3 linked regions of the Xenopus tropicalis genome follow. The protein of the gene in region 1 purifies or fractionates together with the protein of each later gene. This does not show direct contact. Links are inferred from orthologs where the notes say so. Each region holds a gene or a part of one and is shown on either strand. Other genes may lie near its edges. The genes, in order: prkar2b, pde4dip and akap9.

What was found.
Region 2: the proteins of prkar2b (region 1) and pde4dip purify together in Homo sapiens (affinity purification with mass spectrometry; 4 studies listed by BioGRID and IntAct, counting the BioPlex papers as one, with this or other methods). This does not show direct contact. The link is inferred for Xenopus tropicalis from reciprocal best matches to the Homo sapiens genes PRKAR2B and PDE4DIP.
Region 3: the proteins of prkar2b (region 1) and akap9 purify together in Homo sapiens (affinity purification with mass spectrometry; 3 studies listed by BioGRID and IntAct, counting the BioPlex papers as one, with this or other methods). This does not show direct contact. The link is inferred for Xenopus tropicalis from reciprocal best matches to the Homo sapiens genes PRKAR2B and AKAP9.

Annotation. Positions count from the first base shown.
Region 1 is NC_030679.2:76,660,199-76,663,853, reverse strand, and holds part of prkar2b (cAMP-dependent protein kinase type II-beta regulatory subunit), read left to right. Parts: intron 1-1,545; coding exon 1,546-1,699; intron 1,700-3,655. UniProt on the Homo sapiens protein: Regulatory subunit of the cAMP-dependent protein kinases involved in cAMP signaling in cells. Type II regulatory chains mediate membrane association by binding to anchoring proteins, including the MAP2 kinase.
Region 2 is NC_030680.2:118,160,489-118,164,243, forward strand, and holds the start of pde4dip (myomegalin), read left to right. Parts: upstream 1-1,253; 5' UTR 1,254-1,655; coding exon 1,656-2,816; intron 2,817-3,755. UniProt on the Homo sapiens protein: Functions as an anchor sequestering components of the cAMP-dependent pathway to Golgi and/or centrosomes.
Region 3 is NC_030682.2:31,455,178-31,458,932, forward strand, and holds the start of akap9 (A-kinase anchor protein 9), read left to right. Parts: upstream 1-1,436; 5' UTR 1,437-1,590; coding exon 1,591-1,644; intron 1,645-3,755. UniProt on the Homo sapiens protein: Scaffolding protein that assembles several protein kinases and phosphatases on the centrosome and Golgi apparatus. Required to maintain the integrity of the Golgi apparatus. Required for microtubule nucleation at the cis-side of the Golgi apparatus.

The sequences.
Region 1 (3,655 bases):
TTTCCTGTCCATTTGTTACTTTGTTACTTGATACACATACTTATATCAGTCTCCTTACACCATGTATGTTTGGCTCTTTGATTCACCTATCCCCACCTCCAACAATACAGTGTCTTCAGCGCTGGTGGCACGTCGGTATAATTGGCTCCCCAATTTGACATTGGCAGTGGCAAAGGGCGGCACATATCTATAGTCTATCCCCTAGTGTGACAACGTATATACAATTGCAGCAGACTCACCATCTTGTGGCCTATATTAAGGCGATTGGCACCTTGGACAAAGGCATCATAGATGCTATCTAAAAATCATGAGCTTCATTACCTAGCTCCACTACTACTATGCTACTTTAGCGCATGAGACACAATAGGAATGCCGTGTTGGTCCGTGTCCCGCTACCAAATACGGGTTCCTGTGCCACATGTGCGGACCAGTCTCTCGACTCTATGTACCGGATGGTGCTTTCTTGGGAAATAATTTTTGATCATGTCTCCACTTGCCTATTGCGCACCATAGCCCGGGTTCCAGCCTCTAAGCCTGCACTTCCATCTGCGCTTCTACTCGTCAGCTGGCCGTTTACCGTGGAGCCGGTATTCTTATGTGCCTCAGGCTACGGTGCTGCCTTACAATGTAAGTGCACCGAAAATCTTTTGGTGAGTACAGTGCCCCCTTTAGCGATTTAGTATGCCACTGCCCTTGCCCTATATGCTGTAACTCTTTGGTCCGATTGCCACGATGTCACTAGGAAGCGCTTGGAGCGCCTAGCATATTTCGGTATGTTTCGAGGTGGTATTCCTTGGTGGGATTCCGTGCTGATACTTACCTTCTCCCTTTGCTCTTCACTGTACCATTTATTTGGACTTACCTTTACCGGAGATGGGTTTCTTTCTTTCTATTTACCTGGTGTCACGTACGTTCACGTTTCCTCTTGCACCGATACTCGTTTTCCGACTTCTACTGTTTTATTTGTTTTTTCTATAATTATTTTATTTTAATTTTCCCAACAATATTCGTTTGTGTTTCGTTAGTATTCGTCTTATGTAATTCTTTCCCTGTGTTCACACCCAGCACCTACCCCTTTAGTATACTTCGGAATTTTGTTGTTTGTGCGTATAAATTTTCTTTGCTAATGCCTTGATTATACATTGTCCGTATCAGGGTATCGATGTACTAACACCTTATAATTAGCATTTTAATGATATGTTAATGTGATGGGTGGGGTTGGTAGTTTTGTGCACTATACACGTCATGAAAGTTTTTTCACTTCTTTGTTTGATTTTTCCCGCCATACACAGTATTTATGTGTGTTTCTCCTTTGCTGCTACAACTTTGACAAAGGCTGGTGTAACAGCCGAAACGTTAGTTCACTCCTCTGGCAATAAAAAAAGAATTTTTTGTTTTGTATAAGTCCTGTGTGTGCGACTTCCGTGATTTTTTCCATATATATATATATATATATATATATATATATATATATATATATATATATATATATATATATATATATACATATTACAGATAAGATTCTCTTTTTTTTTTTTTAAACAGAGGAACCTATGATATTTTTGTAAAATCAGATGGAGTTGTGAGGTGTGTTGGTGCCTATGATAATCGTGGAAGTTTTGGGGAATTGGCATTAATGTATAATACACCTAGAGCTGCTACAATTGTTGCAACATCTGTTGGTTCCATATGGGGTTTGGTAAGTATTTGCATGTGCTTATTACAAATTATACTTGAAGACATTATGTGTGTGTGTGTACACTGTAGCCACTTTTTTATAGCTCAGTTAATTACATTAATATTTATAACCGTGATAAAACAAATTAAAGAGATTTGAGCTGACACATCATAGCTGTTATAGCTGTGCACATAAAGCTAATAAGAGGAAGATTTTTTTTCCCACTACACAGCATGAGATAAAAAATTCATGGTCATTTTTCAAGCTTTACAGGGGTCCTACAATTTTGGCAGACTCTCATTCCACCTACTTAAGCAACACCTGCTTAATCATTTGTTGTGGCCCTGCTGGTTTAACCCCTAGCTTTCTGAAGAAGAAATGCTAAGTTGTTTTCATGCTGTTGTGCAGTAGGGAGGTGGTAAATCCCTGAAATGTCAGAATGCAATCTTAAAGAGGCAAAAACAAACAGTAGCACAATTCTAACATCCCATTGCTGTTTTAGTATTTAAATACCTTAAATGACAGCTGCTTCTCTATAGGGTTGTTAACATTATAAAAGGTCATGAATCTAGTCATTTGATTTACATAACATCCTCTTTTCTGTAAGATTTGCATTGCACAATTTGGAAAATAATCTGAAAAATGTTGATGCAATTGGATTTATACTGTAAAAGTGCCAAACTAAAAACATAATTGTAAAGATATTGTGCTGACTCTGTTCACTCGTCTTCTTCATCTAAGTTAGGCCTCTTATTTTTATTCTTTTTATAGGGCCTACATCTTTCACAGTATTTACAGAGATTGTTCTTCATTTGCATCAGTCCCATTAAATACACATGCACACACGGCCAGTTTCTAGGAGTCTAGGAGAAAAGCCACAAAGATATGGGAAAACATATAATATTTATGCAGATAGTAATTTGGTCAGATTCAAGGCGAGAAACCCATGTGTTGCAAGGCAGCCATGCTGACCTTTGTTCTACTATGCTGCTCCATTCTGCGCCTAACCACCTGCATAACTATACCATACAATGTACAGTTGTTAAAAGGTCTAATGCAGGACAATGTACATGTCATGTGAAAGTACGCCCCATATAAATTTCTTTGTTAGCATATGTAGAGATATAAATAACTGATCTGAAACAGTATATAAAGGTGTTGAAAGGTATTGCCCCATTTGGCAAAAACAGCCGCAAGTAGGAGGTTTTCTTTTTTATATTTTTCCACTCCTCGCTGTATATGTTTTTCAGCTCTACAGTGTTTGAGGAGTTTCTTGCATCCACAGCTTCACAATCTGGTCTTTGGCCATTTCAGAACCCTCTATTTCTATTTTTTCATCCATTTCTTGGTGAATTTACTGGAATATTTATGGACCTTGCCATGCTGCAAGGTCCACTTTCTGTTGAGCCTCTGTCTTTAGGCAGATGGTTTCAAAATATCCACAAGCACACTATGATACAATGAAGAATTTAGACTGAATGTTATGATGGTGAGATGCCTATGCCCTGATGCAACAAATGAGCCCCAAACTATGTTGTCATTTTCACCACAATGTTTACAGTTGGCATCAGGCTTTTCTGTAGAAATGCTAACTTTTGTTCTCACCAGAATGTTTTAGTCTTGTCTGTTGAGAGCACATTTTTCTTTGAATTCTTGTGCCTAGGTACTGCACTGATGATCTTTCTGGACAGCTAAATTTTCCTCATGGGTTACCTCCCATGTAGATCTAGTTTCTGCAGCTTCTTTCTAATGGTAGACTTATTCACTTTGACATTAATAATGGCAAGTGCTGCTTGAAGGTCCATTCTAGGATTCCTATAAATTTCTTTTTGAATCTTGCATTCAGTTTTCAGGTAGTTGTTTGAAATCTTCTCCAGATGATGATCCACACAGTGGAATGACTGATGTCCAATTGTTTGGTGATCTTTTTAAACCCCTTCCCAGACTCATAGGCATCTATAACCTTCTTTCTAAAGG
Region 2 (3,755 bases), on another chromosome or scaffold:
TTCAAAAATCCCTTAATATTTGTATTTTGGTGGTTGTTATAATATTTTTGAACATTAGTATCCCAGAAAGCAGTTTATTGGATATACAATTTGGTGGTGTGTGGGGCTTCCAACACAAATAACCTTCATGCTAAAAGTGTATATTTTTTCTTTCTTATCCTTTTTTGACCCTGTGTGTTATTTAAGAGGATTAAAGCACAGCTAACATTACATTCTGCTACATTTGTTAATAAAAGCTTATTCTGCCAGGGGCAAGGGTGTGTGGTATTACGGACTGCTGCATGTGGTTGTGATTGCCATAAGCAGCCAGCTACATTCTCTAATGCAGACTTTAGATACTGTGTGGGTTTACCTACTTATCTTTAAACACAGCCATGGTGCACTGCATCTTTACAATTGGTGCCAACCAGATTCCTGCATAGAGAAAATCAAATTCAGGGTGTTCACTGAATGAGTGCTTATGAGAGCCTCTCAGGGCATTTACTGAGCGCTTGGGAAAGACAAAAATATCTTTATGTAAAAAGAAATCAAATGCACCCGCCTGTGAACTAGGACAAAAGTACTTTTTAGCAGTAGATAATATGCTGTTAAATTACAATACAGAGGCCTCTATTAAATGAATCCCCCCCCACCCGGCCTTGGGCTTTTTTGTATTTACAACAACCTTAAATTCTATATGATTTCACTTTAGTGGAACCATGATATGAATTGTGTTTTTTCTTCTATAAGCAATTTGGGTTTTGATTGGTTTTACTAATTCCTACATTATCAAGCCTGCCCAATCTTTGTACAACCTCTGCAAGGTTTGATAGGTCACATTGCTCAGGGACCCTCACATGGACAAGACTGGCCATGCCAAAGTTTGGGGTGGTATGGTATTGTTCACCTCTGAGTTAACTTTTTTGTATGATGTAGAGAGTAATATCCTGAGACAATTTTCAATTGGTCTTCATTTTTTATAATCTTAGTTTTTTTCAATTGTTTCAATTTTTGTTCCGCAGTTCTCCATTTTGGAGTTACCTTAGCAGTCAAGACAAGGATATGGCATGATTTATAGCACAGAATGTTTTGTTTTTTTACCAGACTTCATTTAGCTTTGTCATTTAGTCTGATGAAATAATTCTATTTTTTCTGGGCAAGTAAGATACGCTGTCAAGGCGCACAGCTTTAATGAAATAACTAGGGGAAAAGGGAAACTGTGCTAATGGCACTGCGCATGCCCGGCATTTGGATCCCCTCACAACTACATCTCCCGGCCCCCCTTGCGCGGGTAGCAGCCTCCATCTTGCCTGCGAGTGAGACAGGGAAGCAGCTCTAGCCGGCTAGCGGTACCAGATGGGTGGGGACCTGAGATGCTGCGGCTGATGACAGCTCGGCAGGGAGGAATGAAGGCGCTCTCTGTGCGGGTGTTTGGCTGAAAGGCTTCGGGATAGCGCTAGCCCGGGAATCCCAGGAATAACAGCTGGTAAAGAGCCACGTCAGTGACAGCTCTATGTAACCTGGCTGCCGTGCCCTCCCCGCACTGCCCCATTCATTATACATGGAGGCAGCTAGGTGCTGCTCTGGCAACAGTGCTGGCTGCGCAGGCTCGGTACATGCTGCAGGAATGGCAGGCTGGCTGTGAGTGAGTTCATGTGGGAAAGGCCGGAGTAATAATGAAGGAGTCCTGCCGGATCTGCGGCCGGGAGCTGTGCGGGAATCAGCGCCGCTGGATCTTTCACACCGCCTCGAAGCTCAACCTGCAGGTGCTGCTGTGTCACGTCCTGGGCAGGGAGGTGCCCCGCGATGGCAGAGCCGAGTTCGCCTGCAGTAAGTGCGCTTTCATGCTGGAGCGGATGTGCCGCTTTGACACTGTCATCGCCCGCATCGAGGCGTTATCCATTGAGCGGCTGCACAAGCTGATTTCCGAGAAGGAGCGCCTCAAGCACTGCCTGGCCGGCCTCTACAGGAAGCATAACAGCGAGGAGGATGGGCCAGACACCGGGCCAGACAGCAGACCAGCGGCAGAGGGCGGCACAGTGGACATATCCGAGCTGCCAGATGTGCGCTACTCGGCTCTGCTCCAGGAGGACTTCGCCTATTCTGGCTATGAGTACTGGGCAGAGCTGGACCAGCAGAGCCAGGAGCCGCAGCACTGCCAGCACACTGACACCGGGGGAGTCCGACCCAGGCGCTGCCGTGGCTGCTCCGGCCTGAGAGTGGCAGATTCTGACTATGAAGCAGTCTGTAAGGTACCCAGGAAAGTGGCCCGGAGCCCCTCATGTGGCCCTTCAACCAAGGGCTCTGCCAGCTTTTGCACTGAGGAGACCATGGTCACCCAGCCGCCACCTCAGCCACTGCCAGAGGCCAAGGCACCACCAGAGGGAGATGGGCTCAGATTGTCCTCTGGTTCCTCTGCTGAATCCCTGGCTACTCACATGGATGCTGCTGCTACTCCCTCTCACAAAGAGGAGGAACCCTGCAAGCCTCCTGGGGATGATGCTAAATGTGACTACTGCTCCATTAATCATGTTGCCCACTCCCCCGTCAATGGTAGTAGAAGTGAATTTGCCTTTCTTTTGGCTAAAGTGTTTAACTACAAGCCTGTACAAATCCCTCGTGGTTGCAGGATACCTGTAAAGTCTAGGCTACATGACTTCAAACCAAACATCATGGTGGCCAGTGGCCTGTCTGCCACCCCCTCGCCTGGGCTTGGGTTCCTGGGCATCATTGCAGAATCCCCTCCCAGTAATGCTCAGGACTTTGTGCCTGAACTTTATGATGTGCAAGACCTATGGCAAGATGTCTATGAAGAGTATATACCGCTTCACACACAGGTATATATACTGGCAAATGTGCAAAATTGTAAAGCTCCTGTTCTATAGCCAGATATCTGTTTCAAATGTTCCTTTTTTTTGTCCAAAATCTGCCCCATGTGCATGGGGACAGACAATTGCAGTAAGTTGCAGGGTTCGTTTCGGTGGTCACAGGCATTTTTTCTCATCAGTGGAGGATCGCCTCAGTTTGATCAGCCTGAAACTCTCATTTAGGCCCTTCAGCTGCCTGAAAGTATGTCATGCTCCTGCAGTCCACTGAAGTCCTCCGCTTTTCCTTCCCAAGCACCTTCTCGTAGAACAATTTCTACACCAGACAGTTATATGCATTATTTATGCATTAATATATCCATTTAAGATTAATATATCCTTACTAGAGGTCTGTCATAACGGGCTAGATTCTGATTCTATATATATATATATAATATATATATATAATATAATATATATTATAAAGCAGCATTGGGTTTATTATTAGGGTAATGGTTAGGCTGAATTCTATCCTAAATTTACTTTACTTGGCTTTATCCTTCTTCCCAATAGAGTCCAACTTTTTAAGCATAACAGGCTTACTTACATGCCTTGCTATGTTCCCACTAGTATTTAGATTGCTGTGTGTACATTGGCTGCATCCTAAACTCACTAGGATCTGCTATTGGTAATTATGAGTTCCCATACTACTAAATTAGCAGGTCGTTTCCCTACGGCGCCCCAGTTATTAACCCACTGTCTACCTTGGCCCCCTGGGATTTGTGCCCTGCCAACAAGAAAAATGGAGCCCCAAGGTAAAAAATATGCCCCTTGCATGAACAGCGACATCCATGGCCACTTCCTAGCTATGGCAAAGCCCACCCACAATCCAGCCAAATCTTGCCACTCCTACACAAACCCTGCCCATTTTGTGGCCCACAAATCACTTTTTACATTTTGGCGTCCCCTTTG
Region 3 (3,755 bases), on another chromosome or scaffold:
ACCAGTAGCACTTGAACACTTTGTAAATTGTTGGAGAGGTGTACTCTGCCTATTGGTGTTGTGGAACAACAACACTATACATTGGCACCAATAGGTCTTTGCACAACTATAAGGTTGATTAGCATTTTTTAAAATTTGCACTATAAGTTTGATTGAGGTGTGTTTACTAATCAGAATTGAGAAATTACTACACTACATATATATTTTTTTCTCTCTTTCTTTCTTTACCTCTTTTCTCTCTTCTTTCTTTGCTCTTTTTCTTCCCTTCCCTGCACATTTGCACCGGTTCACAGCATTAATAAGACTGCTACCATCCCCTCGATGTCTAAATACATTCGGTTTCTGTAACCCTTTTATTGAAAGTGATAAAGCTACCAACTGTAAACGGAACTTAAACACTGTTTTTCAGTAAAATGTATTCTCACTGTAAGCACACTGCCTCCAGTATCTGCATATTTGTATTTATACCCATGAGTAATTACTGCAATATTGCTTGTCAACAATAGCAACAGTAACCATAGTGGTCATACGCAGATCTCTTTTCTGTAGAGCTACTTCTGAGTTCAAGCCCATCACATATGGGATAATTCTTTATGTTTACCTTAATGGAACATAATATGAAGCCTCCTACAAACACTAGCTAAAAAATACGCTTTGATGCTATATACAAAGGTACTTGAACCCATAAACACTCCTTTGCATCTTGAAAAGAACACCAGTGTGCCCATTCAACCTGTTCTGACTCTGCACAAATGAACTGTACAAAATAATTCCAGGGTTCTCTTATAGGTTTTGTGAGCTAAATTACTATGAGCTAAAATTCCTCCTCATACAGCGATCACATATTGCTTTGTCAGAGGGGCCCACTGGGAGTTCTGGGAGTGCTCAAATAACTGGAATGTAAGAGGTGGGTAGAGACATCATCAATAAATACAGTTCAGATAGAGTAAGTACCGTTGCATTAAAGTAGTTCTGGTAAGAGTAATGGTACCTATATGATGCACCATATTCACAGCAGGGATTGGCCCTTGCTAAATGTTTTCAATGCAAAAACATTAGATGATTGGTTTGCATTGTAAACCAACAGCAATAACAGAGCATAAAGGTAAACTTGACAGATGTGTCTTTGTCTAACCTCAACTACTATATATCCAAAGTCATGCTATTGTTATAGTATACCATTTAAATTTTAGAGACAAAATAACTTTTTTAAGTAATAATTACAATTTAAAGAAAATATTACACTTAAATACCACGTTGTAAGAAAAGATTTCTCATTATAAGGACATGTGCTGGTTAAGTATAGCTCACATGCTAGATTGTCTTTGTTCTGTCTGTTTTGCACACAATGCCTTGGTGTGGGCAGTGCCCCTTTAAGTGTCTGGGAACTGCAGCAGCGCAACAGCAGCTGTCAACTCCTAGTTCTGCCACTGCTGCAATCGGTGCCGCCCCCACTGACTTCTCTCGCCGCTGCCGGGCGCTGGGGTGACGTCAGAGGAGTGCGCCGAATGTTTACGTGGAGATGGGAGAGAGCGGTAGGCGCTGTAGCTAACGCTGCGCATTGCTGTGTGTGTCTGTACAGGCGCAGGCATGGAGGAGGAGGACCAGGAGAGGAAGAGGAAGCTGGAGGCCGGCAAGGCTAAGGTAAGGGAATGTGGGGAGGCTTTGTGTCTGTGTGTGTGTCTCCCTCTGACAGCTGTCACTGGGGAAGGGGGGCTTCCATTGTTTGCATATTCCTGGCGTGCTGTGTCTGTGCGAGCTGTCCCGCCGCCCTGTTTGTCTGGGTGCCACCCTGCCATTCTGATGTGTCTATGTCACTGGCTCCATGTGTCACCTTCCAACCTCCTGTGTGTGTGTATGGCACCTTACAGCATTCTGTCCATGTGTCACCTTCCAACCTCCTGTGTGTGTGTATGGCACCTTACAGCATTCTGTCCATGTGTCACCTTCCAACCTCCTGTGTGTGTGTATGGCACCTTACAGCATTCTGTCCATGTGTCACCTTCCAACCTCCTGTGTGTGTGTATGGCACCTTACAGCATTCTGTCCATGTGTCACCATCCAACCTCCTGTGTGTGTGTATGGCACCTTACAGCATTCTGTCCATGTGTCACCTTCCAACCTCCTGTGTGTGTGTATGGCACCTTACAGCATTCTGTCCATGTGTCACCTTCCAACCTCCTGTGTGTGTGTATGGCACCTTGCAGCATTCTGTCCATGTGTCACCATCCAACCTCCTGTGTGTGTGTATGGCACCTTACAGCATTCTGTCCATGTGTCACCATCCAACCTCCTGTGTGTGTGTATGGCACCTTACAGCATTCTGTCCATGTGTCACCTTCCAACCTCCTGTGTGTGTGTATGGCACCTTACAGCATTCTGTCCATGTGTCACCTTCCAACCTCCTGTGTGTGTGTATGGCACCTTACAGCATTCTGTCCATGTGTCACCATCCAACCTCCTGTGTGTGTGTATGGCACCTTACAGCATTCTGTCCATGTGTCACCATCCAACCTCCTGTGTGTGTGTATGGCACCTTACAGCATTCTGTCCATGTGTCACCATCCAACCTCCTGTGTGTGTATGGCACCTTACAGCATTCTGTCCATGTGTCACCATCCAACCTCCTGTGTGTGTGCATGGCACCTTACAGCATTCTGTCCATGTGTCACTATCCAACCTCCTGTGTGTGTATGGCACCTTACAGCATTCTGTCCATGTGTCACCATCCAACCTCCTGTGTGTGTGTATGGCACCTTACAGCATTCTGTCCATGTGTCACCTTCCAACCTCCTGTGTGTGTGTATGGCACCTTACAGCATTCTGTCCATGTGTCACTATCCAACCTCCTTTGTGTGTGTATGGCACCTTACAGCATTCTGTCCTTGTGTCACCATCCAACCTCCTGTGTGTGTGTATGGCACCTTACAGCATTCTGTCCATGTGTCACCATCCAACCGCCTGTGTGTGTATGGCACCTTACAGCATTCTGTCCATGTGTCACCATCCAACCTCCTGTGTGTGCATGGCACCTTACAGCATTCTGTCCATGTGTCACTATGCCTTGCCATTAGCCACATTGTGCACATGTCACCCAAACATTCTACCTATGAGCCACCTTGTGCATGTATCACTCTATGTACCCTGGGGCCTTGTACCATTCCCTTCACTTGTGCATGTCTCTGTGCATCATTGTGGTACTTGCTTCACATCACTTTGCTGCTTGGTGCAACTGGTTTCTTGTGTCTCTGTGTGCTTTTGGTGTGTCTGGATCCTGTTTGCCTATTATGTTAAGTGCAGTGTATGTTTCACTTTGTGGTATTATATGTTTGTGTGCAGCTTCTGTGTCAGTATGTGCACAAAATGATACACATTCAGTGGAATACTTAATAGTTTTTAAACCCTCAACTATACAAATTGACTTCTATTTAGAATGTGTATCGTGCTTAAATCACTTTTTTTATCGGTGTTAATTTTACATGTATACCATGGGTAAGTGTTGTAGGGTGCGTAATTGTGTATCTGTTGAAGAGAAATACTTAAAAATAAACACACATTTATACCCACATATATGCCAAATGGCAGGTACATAGAATGTATGTGTACTTAAATAACTTTTTTCATTGGTGTAAGGTTTTTTGCATGCCATGGATTAGTGTTGTAGTGTGTGCATACAGAATATAGGTGCGAGTGTATGTACTTGTGTGTCTGTTTTCTTCCTATTTAGGTATACTTTTAATCAAGACACATTTATA